Linked DNA regions of Daphnia pulex. The protein of the gene in region 1 purifies or fractionates together with the protein of each later gene. This does not show direct contact. Links are inferred from orthologs where the notes say so. Each region holds a gene or a part of one and is shown in the gene's direction. Other genes may lie near its edges.

Evidence for each region.
Region 2: the proteins of myotubularin-related protein 9-like (region 1) and ATPase inhibitor mai-2, mitochondrial-like purify together in Homo sapiens (affinity purification with mass spectrometry; 5 studies listed by BioGRID and IntAct, with this or other methods). This does not show direct contact. The link is inferred for Daphnia pulex from reciprocal best matches to the Homo sapiens genes MTMR9 and ATP5IF1.

Annotation. Positions count from the first base shown.
Region 1 is NC_060028.1:7,381,092-7,385,783, reverse strand, and holds myotubularin-related protein 9-like, read left to right. Parts: upstream 1-1,632; 5' UTR 1,633-1,862; intron 1,863-1,920; 5' UTR 1,921-1,934; coding exon 1,935-2,081; intron 2,082-2,146; coding exon 2,147-2,315; intron 2,316-2,394; coding exon 2,395-2,675; intron 2,676-2,737; coding exon 2,738-2,887; intron 2,888-2,948; coding exon 2,949-3,063; intron 3,064-3,129; coding exon 3,130-3,358; intron 3,359-3,433; coding exon 3,434-3,663; intron 3,664-3,736; coding exon 3,737-3,906; intron 3,907-3,975; coding exon 3,976-4,185; 3' UTR 4,186-4,260; downstream 4,261-4,692. Other genes in the region: protein kinase C-binding protein 1-like, read right to left, coding at 1-71, 140-328, 388-534, 627-1,153. UniProt on the Homo sapiens protein: Acts as an adapter for myotubularin-related phosphatases. Increases lipid phosphatase MTMR6 catalytic activity, specifically towards phosphatidylinositol 3,5-bisphosphate and MTMR6 binding affinity for phosphorylated phosphatidylinositols.
Region 2 is NC_060022.1:5,168,386-5,170,764, reverse strand, and holds ATPase inhibitor mai-2, mitochondrial-like, read left to right. Parts: upstream 1-1,239; 5' UTR 1,240-1,334; coding exon 1,335-1,393; intron 1,394-1,468; coding exon 1,469-1,577; intron 1,578-1,639; coding exon 1,640-1,780; 3' UTR 1,781-1,879; downstream 1,880-2,379. Other genes in the region: 26S proteasome non-ATPase regulatory subunit 14, read right to left, coding at 1-71, 136-248, 309-525, 585-734, 814-906.

The DNA of each region.
Region 1 (4,692 bases):
GCAATTCCATGAAATGGCTACCAACTTTGGTCGATGGGGTACTTGCTGTTGATGGAGTGCTTGTTATTGATCTAAAGTTTGCAAAAGTGCTACAGTTAGTTACAAATGCTTCGTAACGCCAGCTTCATTTTTTAGTTACTTTTTGTTTCTTTTCTCTTGAATTGGAGAACTATGAGGAGAATGCACGGCATCTGTCCCTCCTGTATCCTCCCATTTGCGCTTTGTGGCTTGTGTTTCCACTTTAACCTGTTCAACTTCGCTAGTTGCACTTCGAACATACGAGTCCATAGAGCTTTTGACAGCAATTTGGTATTTATGCATGAAAGACCTGTAAGAGAAATGGATCTCCAATATATGGCTTTAAAAAACAAGTTCAGATTTCCTTACTTTTGCTTTGCGATTATGTCAGGATTGATCTGTGATCGCGTGGTACGTCCTGCGGAAAGTGACACGTCGTTTGGAGATGGGCTGATGGGTAATTTAGTCCTGCTGGATCTTCTTAGAGCTGCTGATGGAGTTCCTTGCAGTTTAATGCTAGATGCAAAATTTAAAAAGAATTTTTTGAAATTGTTGCCATGTGGAACCCTTGAGAAGGAATAATGTATAGACTTAATTTTTGTATTTACTTTTGGTTTTGGTCTCCTTTGTCAGTAAGACTCTGTAAATCATCTTCTAACTGTTCATTTTCAACTACACCTGAGAGACTGTCCACATTCTTGCCTTCCTGCTTCATTATTGAACCATGGCTAAGAATGAGTCCTGGAGGTGCTTCCTCATCTGATGTTTCTCCAGTAGTACCATCATCCTTTGTAGCTGTTTGAATCCCAGCACCATCTGAGTCTAAAAGTTCTGGCATTTCTTCATCCTCTTCATCCACATCTTCATCTACGTCTTCATCTTCATCCTCCTCAGAATCTTCAGCTATAAAAAGACTTTGTACTTCATCATCATCAATCTGGCTCTGTTCATCACCATTTAGTTGGGGAGTGCCATCCCTAGGTGAAAGAGTGTCGAAGTTTTCACATGCAGTGGCCACATTATCTGCAGGCTCACTGTTTTCACTGTTCAGTTTTCTGGACATTAAACCAACATCCTCCATGACTCTATCACTGGAAGGTTCATTGATGACATCAGCAGTCGCAGCGTTATCCATTCCGGGCAGGCAGCACAGTTTTTCCCTTGTCCCCTTGATATCTGCAATTAGTGATTCCAAATAAATATGTTATTGCGAAACGGAAAATGAACGTAGAATTTAGCAAGCATACCACTGAGGACTGACCTTCCTGTGCTTCGTAGAAACACCGCTAGAGCAGGCGGAATCCGGAGAGGATTTTTCAATCAAACAAGCTCCGCCCACAGGCTATCTATATTTCGGTCCAGTGATGATGCTACAAACAAGAAGAATGTTACAAATTAAAAAGCATCATCAATAATGGTGTCGTGAAAACAAACCCACTCTATAAAAAGGTGTCACGAATCTTGAACCACTTCAGAAGCATGCGATATATTTCAGCTCAGGGTTTCGCCAGAATTATTTTACACACACACACACACACACAGTCACACACACAAGACACACCGGCGGTGTATATAGCAAACAACGTTGTCAATTGGGGATATGAAAAATATTTTTTTTTTCTGCTTTTCACGACACCAATGTTTACGTTTTTACGCTCACTTGGTATGAAGTGAAACGATAATTCACTGTCAGGATGAAAATAATTTCCAAAATACTGTAAATTTTAAGCGAATGCTGTATTTTTAACCTCATTTAGTCTTTATCGATCAATTGCGCGCGCAACTCGTTTCTGAAATCGTCCAGCTGGAGATTGTGACAGGTGAAGAAATCCTTACAATACAAGGTTTGTGGAAAATTATTAGGTTTCATTAAACCGATTTATGGATTGTCTCTTTCTGAAGGCTGAGCTGTGAAAATGGAGTTTGCACATCTCATCAAGTCACCAAGGGTAGAAAAGGTTTTGGTCCACCGCCCACTTCACAAATCTGTTGAAGGGGTGCTATGTATAACTGGGCACCACCTCATTTTCTCTGCTGGAGGAGAAAATCCTGATGAATTTTGGGTATACCAATTTTATTAAGTTTTTTGTAAATTACCTTCACATTGTTTTTTTTTTCATTTTTACAGCTGATTCATAGAATCATAGATTTAGTGGAAAGAAAACCCAACACACCTCCAGCTGCAGGAGGCACTCTTACACTCAAGTGCAAAGATTTTTCTGTTATCAGTTTTGATTTCAATAATACAGAAGAACTGATGAATGTTTCAGCTTCATTGGAGTGCTTATCATCCATAGGTATTTATTACAGATCGGTGCTTATAAGCCTACATCTTCTAAAACCACCTGCTAATAGATCATAATTTTTTTACCACAGAGAATCAGTCTCTTTATTATCCTTTCTTCTATCAGCCAGTTTACACTGCAATAGAAGATGGTTGGACAGCATTTAGGCCAGAAACTGAATTTTCCAAACTAGTCATGCAACAACAGGAAGACTGGAGGATTTCTTATGTCAATAAGGATTATTCAATCTGCTCGTCTTATCCATCTGCTGTTGTAGTTCCCAAGTCGGTCGATGATGACGTCTTAATAGCTGCTGCATCGTTTCGAGTTGGAGGGAGATTTCCAGTTCTCTCATACAGGCATGAAGGAGGAGTAAGTTGCCATTTAATCATAAATATGCTGCAATATTTTTATTTCTTTTTCTTTTTATTCAGGCTGTGATGATGAGAAGTAGTCAGCCTCATTCGGGACCAAATGTTAAGCGTTGTCGTGAGGATGAAAAACTTCTTAACAGTGTGTTGAAACCAGGGATGCGGGGTTACATTATTGATACCCGCCACCAGAGCACAACACCGACCCCCAAAGTATAATATCATTCTTTCAATCTAAAAATCTTGTCTAAATATCTAAAATTTCGTTCCAAAGTCTAAAGGTTCAGGTGGTTTTGAGACCGAATCTCACTACCCTCAATGGCGTCGCATTCATAAACCCATTGAAAGACTGCAGTCTTTACTTGAATCGCTATCCAAACTAGTTGAAGGTAAAAAGCAATATTGTTTGGCCCCCTAAAAGTGACATTTTGACATATTTATTAACCCCTTTTCAGCCTGCCTTGACAATGGCAGTTCTATGGATAAATGGCTGTCCCGCTTAGAATCTTCCCAATGGCTTTCGTACGTAAAAGAAACTATGAATTGTGCCTGTTTAGTTTCTCAGTGCATTGATCAAGAAACTGCTGCTGTTCTACTTCATGGAGGAGAAGGTCTTGATTCTACATTGGCCGTTTCTGCCCTCGCCCAGGTCATTCTTAGCCCTGACTCTCGCACAGTTCACGGGTAAGGTTTAATCCCCTTTGCAAATATCGAAAGGCTTCTATAGTTCTCCTGTGGTTATTTTTCTTTTTCTTCAAGTTTTGAGGCTTTGATCGAGCGTGAATGGATTCAAGCAGGTTATCCCTTTGTTCAACGCCATCACCGCTCGGCTCTGAGTAACACAGTCTCACGGAGCAAAGAAAATGCGCCGACTTTTTTACTATTTATTGATTGCACTTGGCAAATCATGCAGCAATTCCCATGCAGTTTTGAGTTTAATGAAGGATTTCTCCTTCAGTTGGCTCGTCATTCCTATTGGTCTCAATTCGGTAAAAAAGTAATTTAGCCTGGCATAAAACAACACGAAAACTAATGAATTGGATCATTAATCGTTGGGAATAGGTACTTTTCTGGGAAATAACGAATTAGATCGCTATCAAATGCAACTGTCGTCCAAGACTGTTAGTTTATGGTCACATTTAAATCGACCAGAAGTGCTTCGATCTTTCCTTAACCCGCTCTACGAGCCCAACAATCGCGTTATCTGGCCTTCAGTTGCTCCTATGAGCGTGGTATGCATAAATTTTCGTCAATTTAAATTCTTGTTTCTAATTCTAATCTTCTCTGATTCAATTTAAAAGAACTTGTGGCCAGCAATGTACCTCGCTTACGTGGTGGAACCCAGCATCTACGACAATGCCTGGCGTGACATTGCAGCAATTTGTGAGCAGGACAAAGAGCTGCGCTCTAAAGCTCAGCGTCTCCGCCGCCAACTGATAGATTTGGAACGTGATGCCATCGCGAAGGGACTACTTGATAGTCCTAGCAGCATTGGAACAGTCTTTGATTGAGTTTTCATTATATTTTCTCTGCTTGTTTATTATTTTTTCTTCCGTTGAGCAAAACAAAAAGAATTTGAAACTTTAGATGTGACGTTTCAATCTTTTGATATTAAGTCAGCAGTGTAAAGGACTGTCGTGGTTGTAATCTAACCATCTTTCTTCTTCAATCATCATCCATTTCACGGATGCACGAATTCTACTCATTTTTTTCTTCGAAAAAGCCTAAAAGAAAAATACCGACGCGGTGGTTTTTTAAGTGGGGTGAGCAATTCGTGTCATCCCTTCCAGAGTTGCACGACATGTTGTATAAAGTAAAGGAACGTGGTTGACCTTTCCGTATAATCGTGATGGAGTATTCCTCCACTTTGAAAAACCTGTTTTTATTTTTTTGTTATTATTATCTATTCGAGAAAATCTTATATTTAGGCCGTCAAGCAAGAATCTATGAGAACAAAGGAACTTGTGTCCCCTGTAGTTTCCTCAGGTATGTATCCGGCTTGGGCGTCATCATCCCCC
Region 2 (2,379 bases), on another chromosome or scaffold:
TGTTCGAGTTCATTCTTTCGATAGTTGATGCTGATTGAATAGTAGTGGCGATTAAGTCCATGAATCAAGGCCTGGAGAAAAAACCATTAAAAAGTCTTGCAGAATTTAATGTTTTGTAAAATCTAACAAACACACCTGAATTGATGGTTTCTGTAAATGTCCAAGATTTGATGTTGTCTGGCGAGGTTCTTGTCCCAATACCATCATGTTTGGATTTATCAACCTGAATGCATCAATGACAACTTTGCCTGTAAATAAAAAACTATTTATTACAACTGCAAAAAAAAAAATGAATAAATCTGTAATACCTTTGACACTTTGAATAGGGTCAACAACAACAGCGACAGCACGTTCAGACAAGGCCTCAAAGCTCTGCTGTGTGTTGATATCTACACCAGATAACCAACAACCAAATCCAGGATGGGAATGGTACCAGCCAACAACCATTTCAGGGCGGCCAGTTTGCCTGAGCATGTCCAACATTTTAGCTTGAAAAACTGGATCCACAGCTTCAACACTGACACCCTACATAAAGTTTGTTAAGTTACTGTGAGCAAAATTGATAAATGATAATGGTTTCATACTGTTCCTGACTGAGGCATAGCAAATACATCAATCACTCTGACTGTGTAATCGTCAACAAATTCTCCAAGCATAAGTCCCATGACTTCCATTGGAACTCCAGCTCGTCCATGTTTAAGCATTTTCAACAGTGCCAAAGAAGAAATATAAACCTGTTACAACAAAAATGTGAAAACAATTATAATAGGTATAGTAAGTAATTTATTGTAAATGCAAACGAATCTGTCATACCTGTTCGGCTGTGTCGACAACCGGTGCATCAGTTGGCGGAGCAGATTGTCCGAGGCCAGACATCGGGCCACCGAGCCGTAATAGACGATCCATTATCTCTTTAAATTATTAGTTCAAACTTTTTTTCGAATGAAGAAAAAGGAAACTGCTTTGTAGTAGAACGGCCGGTAAAAACAATGAATCCTTCCGTCACAGAATAGTCAATTCACGCTCCGCGCAACGTTTTTCGACGGGTTTATGCTGGTTAGCAACATTGCCCAACAATGAATGAAAAATGTTTCATTATCAGTTTCTATCAAACCCAGTTTTTAATTATCAATATAGATCTTCCATTAAAGAGAATACATTATTGTAAGAAATTTTATTCTTCAGATGTATCTTTTAATTATTATAAAAATTTTATTTGGTCGATTGCGACGTTTGTAGAAATCCAAACGATCGTTTGTCTGACGTCGTTACGAATTCTCTTTGTAAATCAGTTGTTTGACTTGTGAATCACCGAGTCTACTCATCAAAACAAAATGGCTTTGACTCGATCTGTTGCAGCGCTCAAGCTTTCTCGTAATATACCCATTATGAGGTGAGTAGTTAATATTTTAATGAGCATTCTACCTTTGTGACGTGAATTAATTGTCATTTGTTTTGCCTTTTCTAGTCGTTTAGCTTATTACAGCCAAGATGGTGGAGCTGGTGCCATTCGAGAAGCTGGTGGAACTTTCGGAAAGAAGGAAGCCGCTGATGAGGAACGATACTTCCGTAAAATGGTAGAAATATCTTTTTTTACAATTTATGTATAGCTTGTATTGATTTTTTATATGGATGGTAGCAAACTGAACAGCTGAAAACACTTAAAACTCACCTTGATGAGGAGATAACATTTCATCAGCAACGCATGAAGGAACATCAGGATGCAATTGACATTCATCAAAAGAGAATCACAGAGTTGGAGCAGAAAAAGAAAGCCTAATTGTTTGATATGCCTGAGTGTGGTGCAAGGATATCAAAATTCTGGAAGGATGTGTAGCCTTAATGTATATCCTAAAATACAATTCTAGTTTATGGTTGAGCTATTTATTTCCCTGAAAGATGTTGATACTGTAGAAGGAAGTATACAGCCTATGCCCTAAAATATTACTCAACAGGTTAATTTACTTAGGGGACATAATGCCATACACAAAACAGACTTCAAATGAATTTCAACATATAAAAGAACCTTTGTTACATGCTGTGGCAAAAAAAGTATAAATTCAATGGAACATCGTTCGACTGCGAATTATTCGAGGCCATTAATTTTTTGCATTTCTAAAGGAATAATTTTGGGAGCAGCTCTTGTATTGTCTTTCGGGAAATGTATTCAAGATGGCACGCACGACAGTTTTTGATGTAGGTATTCACTTAATTTTGTCTTTTTGTATTGCATCTCTCACCTGACCAACACACTTAACTTGACACTTCACAGCCGAGTACAAGTGAAGAAGTCGGATGCTGTTCATAAGGACACTGTTTCCTCCCGATTCCACGATAAATATTCTGAACTGAAGTTGATAGCCAAGGAAAGTCAGGCAA